Oreochromis niloticus: one gene and its partner. The protein of the gene in region 1 interacts with the protein of each later gene in a pairwise test. Links are inferred from orthologs where the notes say so. Each region holds a gene or a part of one and is shown on either strand. Other genes may lie near its edges.

What was found.
Region 2: the proteins of anxa11a (region 1) and pdcd6 interact in binary tests that used the Homo sapiens proteins (3 or more experiments, as listed by UniProt). The link is inferred for Oreochromis niloticus from reciprocal best matches to the Homo sapiens genes ANXA11 and PDCD6.

The regions. Positions count from the first base shown.
Region 1 is NC_031978.2:16,479,161-16,486,074, forward strand, and holds the start of anxa11a (annexin A11a), read right to left. Parts: upstream 3,004-6,914; 5' UTR 2,858-3,003; intron 364-2,857; 5' UTR 362-363; coding exon 73-361; intron 1-72. Other genes in the region: zcchc24 (zinc finger CCHC domain-containing protein 24), read left to right, coding at 6,118-6,357. UniProt on the Homo sapiens protein: Binds specifically to calcyclin in a calcium-dependent manner. Required for midbody formation and completion of the terminal phase of cytokinesis.
Region 2 is NC_031974.2:23,973,725-23,981,283, forward strand, and holds the start of pdcd6 (programmed cell death protein 6), read right to left. Parts: upstream 3,005-7,559; 5' UTR 2,864-3,004; coding exon 2,781-2,863; intron 1-2,780. Other genes in the region: rec8b (REC8 meiotic recombination protein b), read left to right, coding at 4,350-4,405, 4,515-4,583, 4,780-4,922, 6,042-6,117, 6,551-6,668. UniProt on the Homo sapiens protein: Calcium sensor that plays a key role in processes such as endoplasmic reticulum (ER)-Golgi vesicular transport, endosomal biogenesis or membrane repair.

The DNA.
Region 1 (6,914 bases):
GAAATTAATCTTCTCTTTACTTCAGTGTGCAAAAGTGTGCACTGACTTTAACAGTCCTGCACAGTGGCTTACCTGGAGGTGGTGCCTGTGGGTATCCTCCAGCCTGTGGTGGGTAACCTCCAGCTTGAGGTGGATATCCTCCTGCCTGTGGTGGGTAGCCTCCAGCTTGAGAAGGATAGCCACCTGGCTGTGGGGGGTAACCTCCTGCTTGGGGAGGGTAAGCTCCTGGCTGTGGGGGGTAAGCACCTGGTTGTGGAGGGTAAGCCCCAGGCTGAGGTGGGTATCCTCCTGCCTGCGGGGGATATCCTCCTGCCTGAGGGGGATATCCTCCCGCCTGAGGGGGGTATCCAGGGTAGCTCATTGCTTTAAACATAAAACAGAACAGTCAAAGGGATGCCTACCACACAACATAACCTCTTACAAATAATAAGAATCTGCAGTATTATTATCATTTTGTGCAGCTGCCTCCATTAAAAAGTACATCATCTGTTGAAAATGAAAAAGTAAAAGATCAAACGTTTATGTGAACTGCACCTTTAAGTAATACGCAACTGATTCAGTGTGCATCGGATTTCTAAACAGAGTCATTATAGTTTTGCATTTTCAAATGAGGTCTTATTATTTACTCTAACAAGGAGCAGAAAACGGAAGATGAATGTTACGTTTTTGGCTTGACTTTAATTTTGCTTAGCCCCCCCGGAGCCAATTTGCTCTTTCAGTTTTGCCTTTACTGTTTTATATATTACTGTAGTTTTTATTACTTTCAGGGTTTTTTTTTATAATTATTATTACATATATGGTATTTCCACAATGTAGTGGTTTACACATTTAACACTAGTTAACAAGCAAAATGTCCCAATTAAATCGATCAACCAGTGTAAAAATCTGCCAAATCAAACATGTGAAACTAACAGCTGTAGTGAAGGGACCAGCTGAAAGGATCTTCTGTTACGTGGAGGTTCTTTGTCAGAGGCAAGACTTGAATTCCTGGATATTAGTTAATTATTTAGCATTACAATAAAGCACAAGACTTTGTGAAAACAGTTGACTCACAATGTGCGTCTAAGTCTCCAAAAAAAAAAAAGTAAAACTAAGTACATTTCCTCATTTTTTAGTTAGTTTTCCCTCAAAATCTATTTTTCTTGTACATTTTACTTACCTTCAGTTGGCATTACTAGCAATAACTTGTGGTGTTGTTAACACCACATTTAAAGTTTTAAATCTGTATGCTTTTTGTTTGTAATCTTTTGTTGAAATGCACTTCTGACCTGTGAACCTATAACTGTGAAACGGTAATAACTATGTGTTGCTTTGGTGTTGCTGGTTTGGAGTGTGCGGTTACACTGTTGCTGCTGCTGCATGTTAAAATCGTGTGAATTACTATATGAGGCAAGTTCACACATTTACAACAAAAAAAATAAAATAAAAGTTTTTAAAATATTTACAACACCTCAGTAAAGTACGTTAATTTTGCTGCTTTTCTGAATTGAACAATGATGCACTTTTATTGGCTTCTGGTCTAATATTTGTATAATGCTTGTTTGTTTAGTGACACTGCAGGTTTTATAGCCGATTTATATCCCTGACCCCAAACAGTCTTTCACTGTTAACTAAGACATGCACAATCATTTTACGTTTCTTTCTTCCTTTAATATGCATTGAGCTAGTCTTTTTCTAGTCACCATTAACTTTTACTAATGTAGCAGTGTAGAGGTCATGGTCATGGAAACCTAATGAGGGACAGACTCTTCATTCCATAGCCATGTGATCACAGATACTTTTAGCTCAGTGGTGGAATGGTAAGGAAACTTTCATTTTGGTTAGGCGTAGTATGAAAAGCTTGTCCTCCAGCAGGCCCATTTATTCCGTGGTAAAACTGACTCCAGTTGACTTAACTGGAACAGTCTTCACTGCTTTTATGCACATAGGATGAAAACAAGCTGCTACTGCATCTGAATAAGCACACAGGGCAAGAAAGATACCCAGGGAAATACAGAGGTAGAATATTTCATCATAAAAACAACACAGTACACGTCATTATGTTAAACTACTGCTAATGTCCAGCTCAGGAACACTGATGCTGAGTATTAAGGTTAAGGTCTTCATGTACAAACATGAGTGAATACGGTTTAGTTTCAAATCTGTCTTAAACACATTTAAATGTTGTTCAGGGGGAACACATCTGACTGGTTTCCCCTCCAAATTGTAAGCAGAGTCACATCACGTAATACATCTCCATATATGTTCTTTTAAGGGTTTACGGTCTTTAAAAAAAGTGACTGTTAATATTGGGAAATCCTAACATCCGCGATTCACTCGCTTTATAACTTAGGCGACTTTTGGACCGGTTAAACATCGTAACCAGTGTTATAATGTACTAAAAATCTACTATGACAGTCCTCGGAAACAAACCTTTGGCTCGCTAATTATAAAATACATGCCATGCTTGGGGCCTGTGTTAATAATTTTATAGAGCTAGCAAGTTAAACTGGCTCCCAACTGTATTTACATAGAGTAGCCATATCCGTCTAATCCATTGAAGGCTCGCTCGCTTCCCGCATTTAAGCTAACTAACTATAAATAAATATAACAAAATATAAAGCATCAAAAACGAAACTACGACCTGCATGTGTACTTTCTAGCTTTCCTCGACTGAGCTAAAGGCAAAGGTATGTCTGTAATAACGTTGACAGAGCAGCTAGCGACTGCTTCGAGAAGACAAGCAGCTCGGTAAACGTCAAAGCAGCAAAACGCCTTAAAAAAACGACACCACGATCCAGCTCAGGTATAACCTTTACTAACCTACCATGCACCGCTTTAGTCTGTGTAAGAAGCTGTTTTCGCTTTTAGCACTTACTTTAGTTTTCTTGCAGTCTCTTCCTGGAAGCTTGTATTTCTTCGACTATCTTGGTTGTATTTAAGTGGTGTGGGTGGGACGCAGAGTTTCCATTGAAGGTTCCCACCCATCTCTCTCTCTATAGCCGTCCTCTGTGACAACGCCTATAAAAAAAATGAATTCACTGTTGGACGTATATGTGACCCATGGTGACTTAATGGAAAACGTGACAGCTATTATTTCACAAAAGGTATATTGTTTGACTGATGTGTTCCTGGAAGGTAAGAATATCTGAGTGTATAACTGAGTTAATCCCCTTTCTTTGTACATTTCTTTTTATTTTCTTGTAGCTAAAAGAAAATGTAATGGTTAATGTATCTGGCAGTAATAAGTCTTTTAGCAATTTTTAAAAGAGAAAATGAAATAAAATACAAATATTAGGAAGTGAAACCATGCTGTAGGCCTGTGAACATATACAGCCAAAAAGAAAGAAAGAAATGAAGACATGACAACCAATTCTGTTCTAAAGTTTTACTTATCAAGATAAGATAAGATAAGATAACTCTTTATTGTCATTGCACAGTCATACCTAGTACAATAGTACAATGAAAATGGAAACTGTCCCACGTCGAGACTAGGTACAACTAAACACAACAAAACACAACACAAACAGTAACAACACAACACAGTAACTTTAAAGTGGAGTGATAAGCGCAAGAAAGGTATAAGCAAAAAAAAAAAAGGAATGACTTCATAAATAAATAAAAGAAATGAATGAATGTTTCTTGCACATTATTATTATTGCCCTCCAAAAAAGTCCAGGGAGGTAGCCAATCAGGTCAGCTGTTAGCATTGATTAGGGCTATTGCCCTGTTGTAAAAGCTGTTCTTGAGTCTGTTTGTCTGTGACCTAGGCAACCTGAATCTGGGCAGGAGATTCAGGTTGCTGAGGTCACTTAAACACCCGGTGTCTTGGGTATGTGCAATCCTGTAGGATGCTGCGTGCCCTCGTGAGACAGCAAGTGCTGTACAGGTCCTTCAGGGAGGGAAGAGGATGTCCAATTATTTTTTTCAGGACATAATGATAATGATAGTCCCTACAGTGGCTCCTCCACATGGCCATATGGGGGCCACTAAAAATATTGGGGTGGCACACCAAATGTTTTAAGTTTTCTATTCCAGTTTTATTATGCTATTGTCAAGTATGGGTTACATGAAAAATGTGACAAAGAGGGAGGGGGAGAGAGAGAGAGAGAGAGAGAGAGAGATTTCATTTTTTTCAGCAGCATTTCTCTGTTGTTATCTCTGAGCTTAAATGTGCAGTTGAACCAGTGATAGATAAGCAGATAAGCTTATCTGGCCCACTTAAGATTAAAGTGGGCTGTATGTGGCCCGTCATGTAAAATAAGTTTGACATCCCCACCTCTGCCTCAGACTCCTAAATGTTAAAGTTCATGTAAAAAGTACACTTAGAAAAAGACTGAATAAGTATGGTGTGTTTGAAAGGTTTGCCAGCACAAGGCCTCTTGTCTCTAAAAAGAAAACATTAGCACGGCTTAGGTTTCCGAAGTTGCATCGGAGCAAATTGAAAACACCTGGAACAATGTCGTCTGCACAGATGAGAACAAAGTGGAGATGTTTTACCACAATGTACACTGCCACATTTGGCAAAAACCAAACACAGCATATCAGCACAAACAACTTGTACCAACTATAAGCTTGGTGGTGAAGGCGTGATGTTTTGGGCTTGTTTTGGAGCCACAGGTCCTGTGCACCTTGCTGTCATTGAGTCGACCATGAGCTCCTCAAGTATTCTGGAGTCAAATGTGAGGTCATCTGTCTGGAAGCTAAGGCTTGGCTGAAACTCGGTCATGCAATAGGACAATGACAGCAGCAAATCTACAACAGAATGGCTTAAAAAGTAAAGAATCAAAGTGCTGCAATGGCAAGGTGTTGGAAAATCTAGACCTCAGCCACACTGAAATGCTGTGGCAGGAAAGCTGTGCAGAAATAAATGCTTCCAAACTCCAATGAACTCAAGCAACACAAGGAAAGAAGAGTGGGCCAAAATTCCTACACATGTGAGAGACTGATATAGTAGCACAGAAAACATTTACTTCAACTCATTGCTGTTAAGGGTGGTTCTACAAGCTACTGAATCACAGATTGTACTTAGGTTTTCACACACTCCTTCTGTGTTGTGGCTTAGTTTTGATGAAATAATGTTACAGTGTAATATCACATGTACTACTGTTCATCTGACGTTGTATTTCATTAATTTTAGAACCTGGTTAGGTCTATTTGTTTTATTATCGTGTCATATGCACCTCAGAACTGAAATAGCTTTTCACATGACTCTATTGTAAATGTATGCACATATGGGAAACATCTGTTAATATAGTTTATATATGTGACTCATATTGCAGACGTAATTTAAGTCTGTGAATTTAAAAGCACAAGATAAAATTGGGTTTTGGAAAGCAGTAGTCATACTTAAGAGCCAGAATAACCTCTCTAGGAAATGAATGCCAGTATCTTCTGGATTCATGGATATATGCAGGGATTTTTGCCACAAGAGGGAGCTGTTTTTAAGGTTTTCTCCATACTCCGCTGCCTTGAATCTGCGGGTTGGCTGGAAGCTGGGACGTGCTCGACAGAGTGTGCCCCCAAAGAGTCCTGATAAGCTGCACAGTTTATTGATTTCTTAACCGCTGGACTAAATGGTATAAAGTTATCCAGGTTTTTCTTTATAGCATATTAATATGTGTTTTCGGAATGTGGCTGAATGACATAAAGAATCATGGAGGCCTATTTCCACACAGAGTAGAGAAATAGTAAACCATATATATTAGTAACTAGGTAAATAATAGAATATGTACACCGTCTTTATACAGCAGTTACTCGGTTGTATCGTGAATGACTCCTGGAACAAACGACGCGCTGATTGGCTGCTGGTCCTCGGTGACGCAGAGCCGCGTTCATTGCATATTCAAAGAGCTTCTCTCTGCCCCGCCGCAATAAAGGCAGATAGCGGACCATGGGGAGCAGGGGAAAACTTTTTATACTGACATGTTAACGCCATGACTTTTGAGTAACATCTAAGTGGGACGAGGCTCCCGGCGTGAGGAGGACAGGGCCTTTTACAGAAAGAAGAAGAAGAAAAGGGAACACTTGCCATCAGTTTGGGGACGGGGACGGGAAAAAAGCAAGATTTGAGACGAGTCCAGCAAAAAAGAAAAAAAAGAAGCGGTGGAAATCCAGTTTGGACATTTGAATGGAAAGATGAGCTTGCTGTCTGCCATAGACACGAGTGCCTCCGTGTACCAGCCGGCTCAACTTCTCAACTGGGTCTATCTCTCCTTACAAGACCCCCACCAGACCAGCGCCTTTGACGCGTTCAGACCCGAACCCAACTCTTCCCACCCGGATCTCAATTTCAGCAAGACTCCCGCAGCGGCGGATTTGAGCTCTTCCCTGAACTCCAACTATCTCAACAACTTCTTCCAGCTGCAGCGAAATGAGGTGAACTGACGGCATGCTACGTACAAATCCGGGATGTCTGAGGTTGTGAGACTGTGGCTGAGTTTAGAGAGAGTTGGCCGGTGTTAGTGTTGCTTGTCTGGGCAGCAAATGTTTGAGCATGCAGGTTGCAACACGGGCTATTCTGGTATAACCGCCATGATATTTTTAATATGGACAAAAACCTAAAATAGTCCGATGAAATAAACATTTTTGGGGAGATTACTTTGAATGTAGCTCTATTGCTATGTGCAGATCTAAGTCTTTTACATAATATAAAACGATTGTGTAGGCTTCTGTGTATATGATTGCAATACTAGAAGGGCAAAATACACCAGAAATACTCAGTAAATATGTCACTAACCCACTCATGGATTAAATACTTATGTGAAAAATTAAAATTAATGTGCAATCTTTCAAGATCTAAATATCACACAGCTCATTTCCCTCCCCCAGATGACATGATTACACATGAAGAGGTCTGCTTTCAGCATATTTATAAGTTATGGCTCAAAGTTAATGTGGTGAGGAAAAATATGTTTTAATCAGAGAGGCAGGAG
Region 2 (7,559 bases), on another chromosome or scaffold:
AACAAACAGGCATCAAGTCATAAGTCTCACCATGTTAGGATCAATTAGGAACTCAGCTCTTAGTGACGTCATACAGAGCTGAGAGGAAATCTTTAGCTGAACATTTAGATAGTATAGATAACTATAAAGGACAAAAACACATCATAAGTCTCTCTTTGAGATGCAGGGACTTTATAAGGTTGGACTCTGGCACAAATATCAGGCCTTACACTTTTGAAATGTAGCTTAGTCAAAAATCCAGTGACTCAGTTGTTCCTTAGCAACCTGCCAGGCCCAACCTGTTGACGCAGAGCTCATTCAACAAACACAGTTTGAATACCAGCAGAGAAGAAGAGGGAGGACACCCCCCCCCAAACAAACAAAACGAAACGAAACAAAACAAAACAACAAAAACAAAAAGTGTGCTGGGTTTCTGCTCCCGGCTGTGACTCGTTTTTCTGCGGCCGCAACTCTATGACTGCAGCCATCGAGGCACGGTGATCAGCTATATGTCGGTGTGCATTTCCCCTGTTAAATGAAGAAAAACAAACACGCAGTCTAGCCTGGTCTTCTTGCTGGGGAAGGAACCGCTCTCAGCATGCTGCCATAAATGAGAGCCTTGTCACTGTGAAGGTGGTGATAGGTTGGGTTGGTGGAGGCAGAGGGGGTACCCAGCCTTTACAAAACACTGAGATATTATCTCAAAGAAGTATATGTGTGTGTACAGTATAAGCTCTCTTTTCTCCCCGCTCCGCCTGTCTTCTTCCTACAAGCTCACACGCCCAGCCTCAGGCAAAGTTACCTCAACAGTAAAAAAGAAAAAAAAAAGAAGTGAAAAGTGAAAGCATCATTAAAACTGCTTCTTGCCTGCAGAGGCAGGCAGTTAACCATCTGGTGTTTCCATATTCACACTGTCAAATACAGAACTTCTATGTAAAAGCAGCAGCAGGACAATATTAAAAGAAGAAAAAAAGAGGACAAAACACCATGACTGAGTCAGTTATTCTGCTCAGATTTTCCCATGTTTCACTGTTTCCTATTAGGCAATCGGGCTGAAATATAGCTTGCGGAACAAAAGTCCGTCCTACTTTCCACATAACTGGTCCAAAAGTAAGGCACTGGTGCTGTAGCTCCCAAGCTTGAAAATTCCATTGCTACTCTTCCTACTTTAAACCTTTTTAGTCTAAGGATAAAGCAAGTTGCAGAAAGAATTAAGGTTAGCTCTGGGTGTGTAACAACTTTTGTCAGGTACATTTGTTTCTTCCAAGTAGTTATTTGATTAAATCAACGTGTAATTTGATTAAAAGCTGAGAATTGAGTAGGAGCTACTCAGTCAAGTCTGAGTCTTGAAATGCGGAATTCAAACATTTTTGTCATACCATAGCCATCCATGAGCATGCACACAAAAGGAAAAGAGTGACTCATTCAGCATCTAGCCACGCAGATGAATATATTCCATAAACAGACGTCAAATACCCTACTTTTCTTGTCTTGTCGTGGCGCATCCACTCAGATGTAGTCATATCATAGCAAACATGTATATAAAAGCAGTCCAACAATGGGATGGTGAGTCATGGGTTAGTAGGTGTGTGTGTGTGTAACAGGGAATGAAAAGCCTTCTGCGTCAACTATGCTCCATTGACTCTGACCACATGACCGAGGGAATTCCAGCATATCTCTGCCAGATATTCACCGAGGGGCAGCAGATGAGGCAGCGGAATGCTCATGTGACAGATGACTGTATGTTTTTATGATAGTCACAATAACGCCTGACATGACAATGATGCATGCAGCCACGAGAAGGTGCTGCTCCTCAGAAAGAGGCAAAATGTGTACATTTGATACCTTAAAGCTTTTCCACCATACATAAATAATTAGTTAAAGGGTGTTTCGAGCCTTGAAATGCCAGCAGCATCCTAATGTGAGAAAAAAAATCCTCTGCAGTATTACATAACTCTATAGCTTACTATTGCCAGGGGCCAAGGCATATGAACATTTCCCTCTCTGCCTACTACTCTATGACCTTCTTGGCTGCTGACACACTTTTGACTCCGGCTGTGCTGAAATTGATGACTATCAGTGGCTGACACTTTAACGTCCAAATATGGGAGGGGGAGGAAACATCCAAAAATCCAACATAAGATGATTTTTTATTGGAAATAAGCTCTCCAGTGTGTTTTAAATAGATCCAGTGTGTCATATCCAGCTTTTTTAGAATATTATATCATTTCTTTCTGACTTCCTCAGACTCAAGTGTTGGTGGAAGATGGTTTTCACTGGAGACATAAATAAAACATTTTGAATGGAGCTGTGATTCCGTTGCTAGGATAAACCGCGGAGGGGAAACCCTTCAAGGACTCCCGGAGGTCCTTGAACCCACGTTTGAAAACTCTCACTGAGCAAGCTGACTGACTTTGACTTCATTTCGGCACAATGTAACATCATCAATACAACTATGCGGCACTGCAGACGCGTAGTAATGTAAGGTAGTACCAGCTGAGTGACATAAAGCAGCTACAGGCTGTGTACTGCGCACTGTGTAGTACTACTTCCACAACTGAGACTCAACTGTAACACTGAAAATCACTCATTTCACTCCGGGAAGTCTGTCCCGAAAAAGAGTTATGAATAGATGAGAGCAACGACAAACAAAAACAGCGAGCTCTCAATGAAATATTTAGTGTCACCCCCACCCAGTCTCACCCTCTTCCTCCCGCGCTATTACACGACAGCAGTTTTCACCTCGAAGCAGAGTGAGAGACAGACACAGCAGCGAAACAACCCAGCTTTCCTGCACTTACCTCTGGAAGATATTCCACAGGAAACCCTGGTCCGGAGGAGCGTTGATGTGTGGGGGGGCTCTGTACGGACTGTGGTACGCCATTTTTACACGGAGCTCTCTGTCAGGTTTGCACAAGTATAGCTCGTGTTTCCTCCTCCTGCTGTAGTTTCTGCTCTCAGTAGCTTCAATCAGACTCCACCACCCTGACGTTCACGTTACCGCCTTCCTCCCTCGCGCAAAGAGGCGTGGCCAATCATTCAACACTACCCATAAAGGGGGGTGACATCACAATTTCCTCTCATTTTCAGCTAAAGTGAAAATAGAAACCTTAAATTTTTAAGTAGCTGTAAGTGTTGGTAAAATCACCTCTAACAACAGTTTGTCAAATTATTATTTTTTTATTATTTTAATACTGAGTGTAAAATTCACTCAGTATTTCCAGGATTTTTTTTTAAATAGGGTGAAACTGGAAGGATCCAAGAACCAGTCCAGAGAAGTTCCTGGAAAATCAGCAACATTCTCTGAGAAATAAAAGTCAAACAAAAGCATTTGAAAACTGACTCACAGTTCAGTTATATTGATTTTAATGTGCACAGAGCGCCTGTCTTCATATTAGGACTAAGAATAGGAATAACTTTTCAACATTACATGATTATATATTGCATTACTTATTACTTAATAAATTATAGAAATGTTAGCAGCAAAAGCATAATTAAAGTACCATTCTCTGAAGGAGGATAATTTTGCTCTAAAGCTATATTTTTAATCTTTATCAAAATAATGGCATGATAACTCAAGAAAACTGAGCTTTCTATACTTTCCTATGCTATGCCATTACAGTCTAGGTGCTATATTTTACATACTGTTTAGTAACTATGAAAACTTTATATAAAATTTTTTAAATATCTTTGAGATACTAGCAAGTATAGAGATAGGGAACATACAAATATACATGCATGTGCTACAGTGCTATTTTGCATTATGACACTTCATCTGTGCTTGGTTGAACTGTTGAACATACAAACATAGGTATGCTCCAGGCAGTTATATTATGATTATAAAAATCCATAAATATAGTCAGTTTAAATACTTTGCATTTAAAGTTTTAGTGTTTGTAACTAGTATGGCTGTGAAATAAATAAACCAAAAATAAAAACAAAAAAATCCATATGCTCACAAAGGGAGCAGAGTTATATAATATTACATTAAATGGGAACAAGTAAACCCTAAACCCATATAGTACTTGAGTACTGCTATCAGTCTTAATCATCAGTTTTAGAGTAATTTGATGCCCTTTTTAACTGTATAAAATATTAAGGCTCTATGTTAGTTTTTCTTTATACGGGTAAAATCTAACAAAACTACTCATCTTAAATTTATTTATGCAGCAATGGATTTATTTTTAGTACTTGAACGCATCATGGGTGTTTACTATCAATGTCCTGAATCTGAAACCGGATTGGTGGAGCATGATTTGAGGCGGGAAACCGAGACTCAAATTTCGGCAAAGATTGGTGTTTTAATCTAGTTCCTAAACTTGGTCCTCTTTTCTTTAACTTCTTCCATTTTTATTGACAGGTAAGACAAAATGTTTTACTACCCCAATGTGCTCCAGCGACATTCTGGATGTTTTTCCACAATTTGGTGAGTCTACATGTTGCTTCAAAGCCATTAGCAAGAAGTCCTGATGGACATTACCTCCCGACTAGCTAACTGTTATGTCTAAATTTTATAAATGCCTTTTGTTATTCAGGTTAGCAGCCACTAAAGGCATCAGGGTGACCCGCAGAGAGCTTCTGAGAGTCAATGTCAAGCGGACCTGGTATGAATGTGCACGTTTTTGTATAGCAAGGCTGATAAAATTGCTAAAAGTAGATTAGCAAAGGTTTAGACTAGTTTAGGTTACTTAGTTCTAACTTAGCACTTAACTACATCTCCATTAACCAGTAAATTGTGCAGCTAATTTTTACTGTGCACATTTAATCAAGATTTCTCTGTCTCATTTTGAATGTTTACAGCGGGGAGATTTTGGACTATGTGACTGCACAGGTTCCTCCACCACAACCCAGCCTGCCCAAGCCTCGGTTCTCTCTGTACCTGTCCTCTCAGCTGCAGTATGGAGTGGTTGTAGTCTACCACAGGCAGTGTGGCTTCTTGCTTGGTGAGGAACAAACAGAAAGACAGCAGAAACAAGAGAAACTGAAATCATGTGATCAGCCATGACATTCCTCTGCTTTGCCTACACGTTGCCCTGCAAGTTGAGTCACTGCAGTAGTTGTCAAATTTGAAAGTGTATACAAAACACTGAGGAGATGACTAACATGGATTAAAAAATAAATGGGAATCATTTCATGGTAGCTTGCTTATATAGGATTAGCAAAAAAAGGGAGTTGGTTGGCAAAATGATTTTCAATTGAACCAAAAAAACCCAACAAAAAAAACACTAACTCAAATAAACCAAAAGCAAAAACAGAGCAGCTTCATTATTTTTCATGATTGATGTTAACTGGGAAAAAAAGCCCAGCTTGTTTATTTTATGCAAAACACATCAGACAGATTGTGTTTGTCACCTTCTCTCCGTATCATGAAAACTGTTTTGGTGCAAAAACCAAAACAATGCTATCATCCCGGCTCCCACTGATAAGTGTGATTTAGAAGCCAATATGGAACTGATGAAAGCAACATCATCAAACACAGCACAACAGTCTCGATTCATCAGGTCTCAAATTGCAGCCTGACGATGATATTGCATCCGACAGATTCGCAATCATGCTGCTGTCATGGTTGATGAAAACGGTGAAACATAATGCAGGATGATCAGCAGGAGGAGAAGCCAAGAAAGCAGCCATTGTCTGCAGTGGCATTTAATTTCACCCACCAGTACAATAAAACCTCCAAGTGTGTGGGTATGATGTTTATATGGTATTATTAAGCAGGGCTTAGTGGAGTTTGGTATGGTCATGGTAAAATGGGACACAAACATCCTCCATGCTCATTTTTATGTGTCCAGACATCCATTTTTTGTAATATGCTTATTCAGTTGAAGGTCCTGTGGGGCTGGAGGCGATCCTGGCTTTGGGGGAGAGGTCGGGTACATCCTGGACAGGTTGCCAGTACAGGCAACCTAAATACTCTTACGACTTTTTATCAATGAGGATGTCAAATTCACATGTTAGCTTGAAGTGACCTTTAGTACATTTGTCACTGTTAACTTACATGTGATGCCTCTTCTTGCATCTTTTTTTGTAAGAGTCGTGTGCATAATTTTTCTGTTTTCCAGAGGAGGTTCAACAAACCATAGACCGCCTGCTGCGCTGTAAAAGATGTGTACCTATAGACATGGCTGAATCTGGCAGGTCTGTGTATGCACGCACAGTGTGCTAATCCACAGGGGAAGAAAATTTTGTCTCTTGGGGCATCTGAAAAAAAAATTAGCAGAACTGTCAGGAAGTTTTAGCTGTTTGGGGAAGTGTGAGCTCACAGGCTTGTTAAATATTTATGAAATGACAAACAGATTGTTTGGAGTAATAAACAGTAAAATGGAGAATATGGTGTTTAAATGAGTGGACAAATGGTTCCCCTTTCCTTTAAATAGCTTCATCAATGTTTCATAAGCCACATTATGGAACAGCAGTAATGTTATGCACTTTGCTATTAATCCATTTTGTGCAATATGAAGGAGCTCTAGTCTTATTCCAGTGATATTTTATATTATTAGAAACAGCAAATTCAAAAATGTGTGCAGTGTTTTAATATGTTGAGTAATAACATTGGTGTATCATACTGTAGGAATGCTTTGGATATGCCTGACATCCTGTACATGATGGAGGAGGCAGAAGGAGCGCAGGATCCCTTCTTTGGTATCATGGAATCTCAACACCTCCCCAGCCCATACAAATTACCCCAGGTACATACAGCCACCATTATACACCAATATTATACATGCATGCCTCTGTAATATGTCAGGTAAGCTACAGAGGGACTGCAGTCATCATCGCCAAGGACCGTGCTTGTCATAGCAAGTGATTGCTCCGTAAGCATGCAGGTGAGAGGCAGCAGTAGCTGCTACTGCTACAATAATGATTAGATTTACCATGAATCATAATAATAGAAGTTTGCAGGATTTCACACATGCAGGCAAACTCCTGTTTCCAAAAAAATCTTCTGACTTGTAAAGATCAGTTCAGTGTTGAGCTTCATATGCAAGATTATTTGTGACATTTGGTCCTTATCCTAACACACAGACAAACATCTGATGTCCTGAAATTGTGACTGGTCAGAGAAATGCAGAACTTACTGTTATTTCGTACAGTTTTGTTTGTTTGTTACCACAAATTACACATGCACCATTTGCTTGGATTATTGTTTTATAGTAATGTTTACAAATGGACTTTGATCAGTGTTTGTTGATCAATGGTCATGACAATTAGCATATTAATGATCAAGGAGCTGACCTCACAGCCCATGGTTCATTCAGTGGGCTGGTTTCAGTTATTGTGCAAATGTACTGTTTATAAGGTTGGGGAAACCTCCAGTCAGCTGAGACTGAAGAAGTCACTTGGATGAGTGACGAAACGTTTCTCGCACTAAAAAACGCTACGTCCAGGTGAACAGAATCAACCTTTGGGGGTTTACAAACCTAATTTCAAAGAAGTTGGGTTTGAAATAAAATGGGGGAAAAATGCAGTGATTTACAAATCTCATAAAACCATATTTTATTCACAATAGATCAAAGAAAACATATCAAATGTTTAAACTAAGAGATTTTACTATTTCATGAAGGATAACACCTCATTTT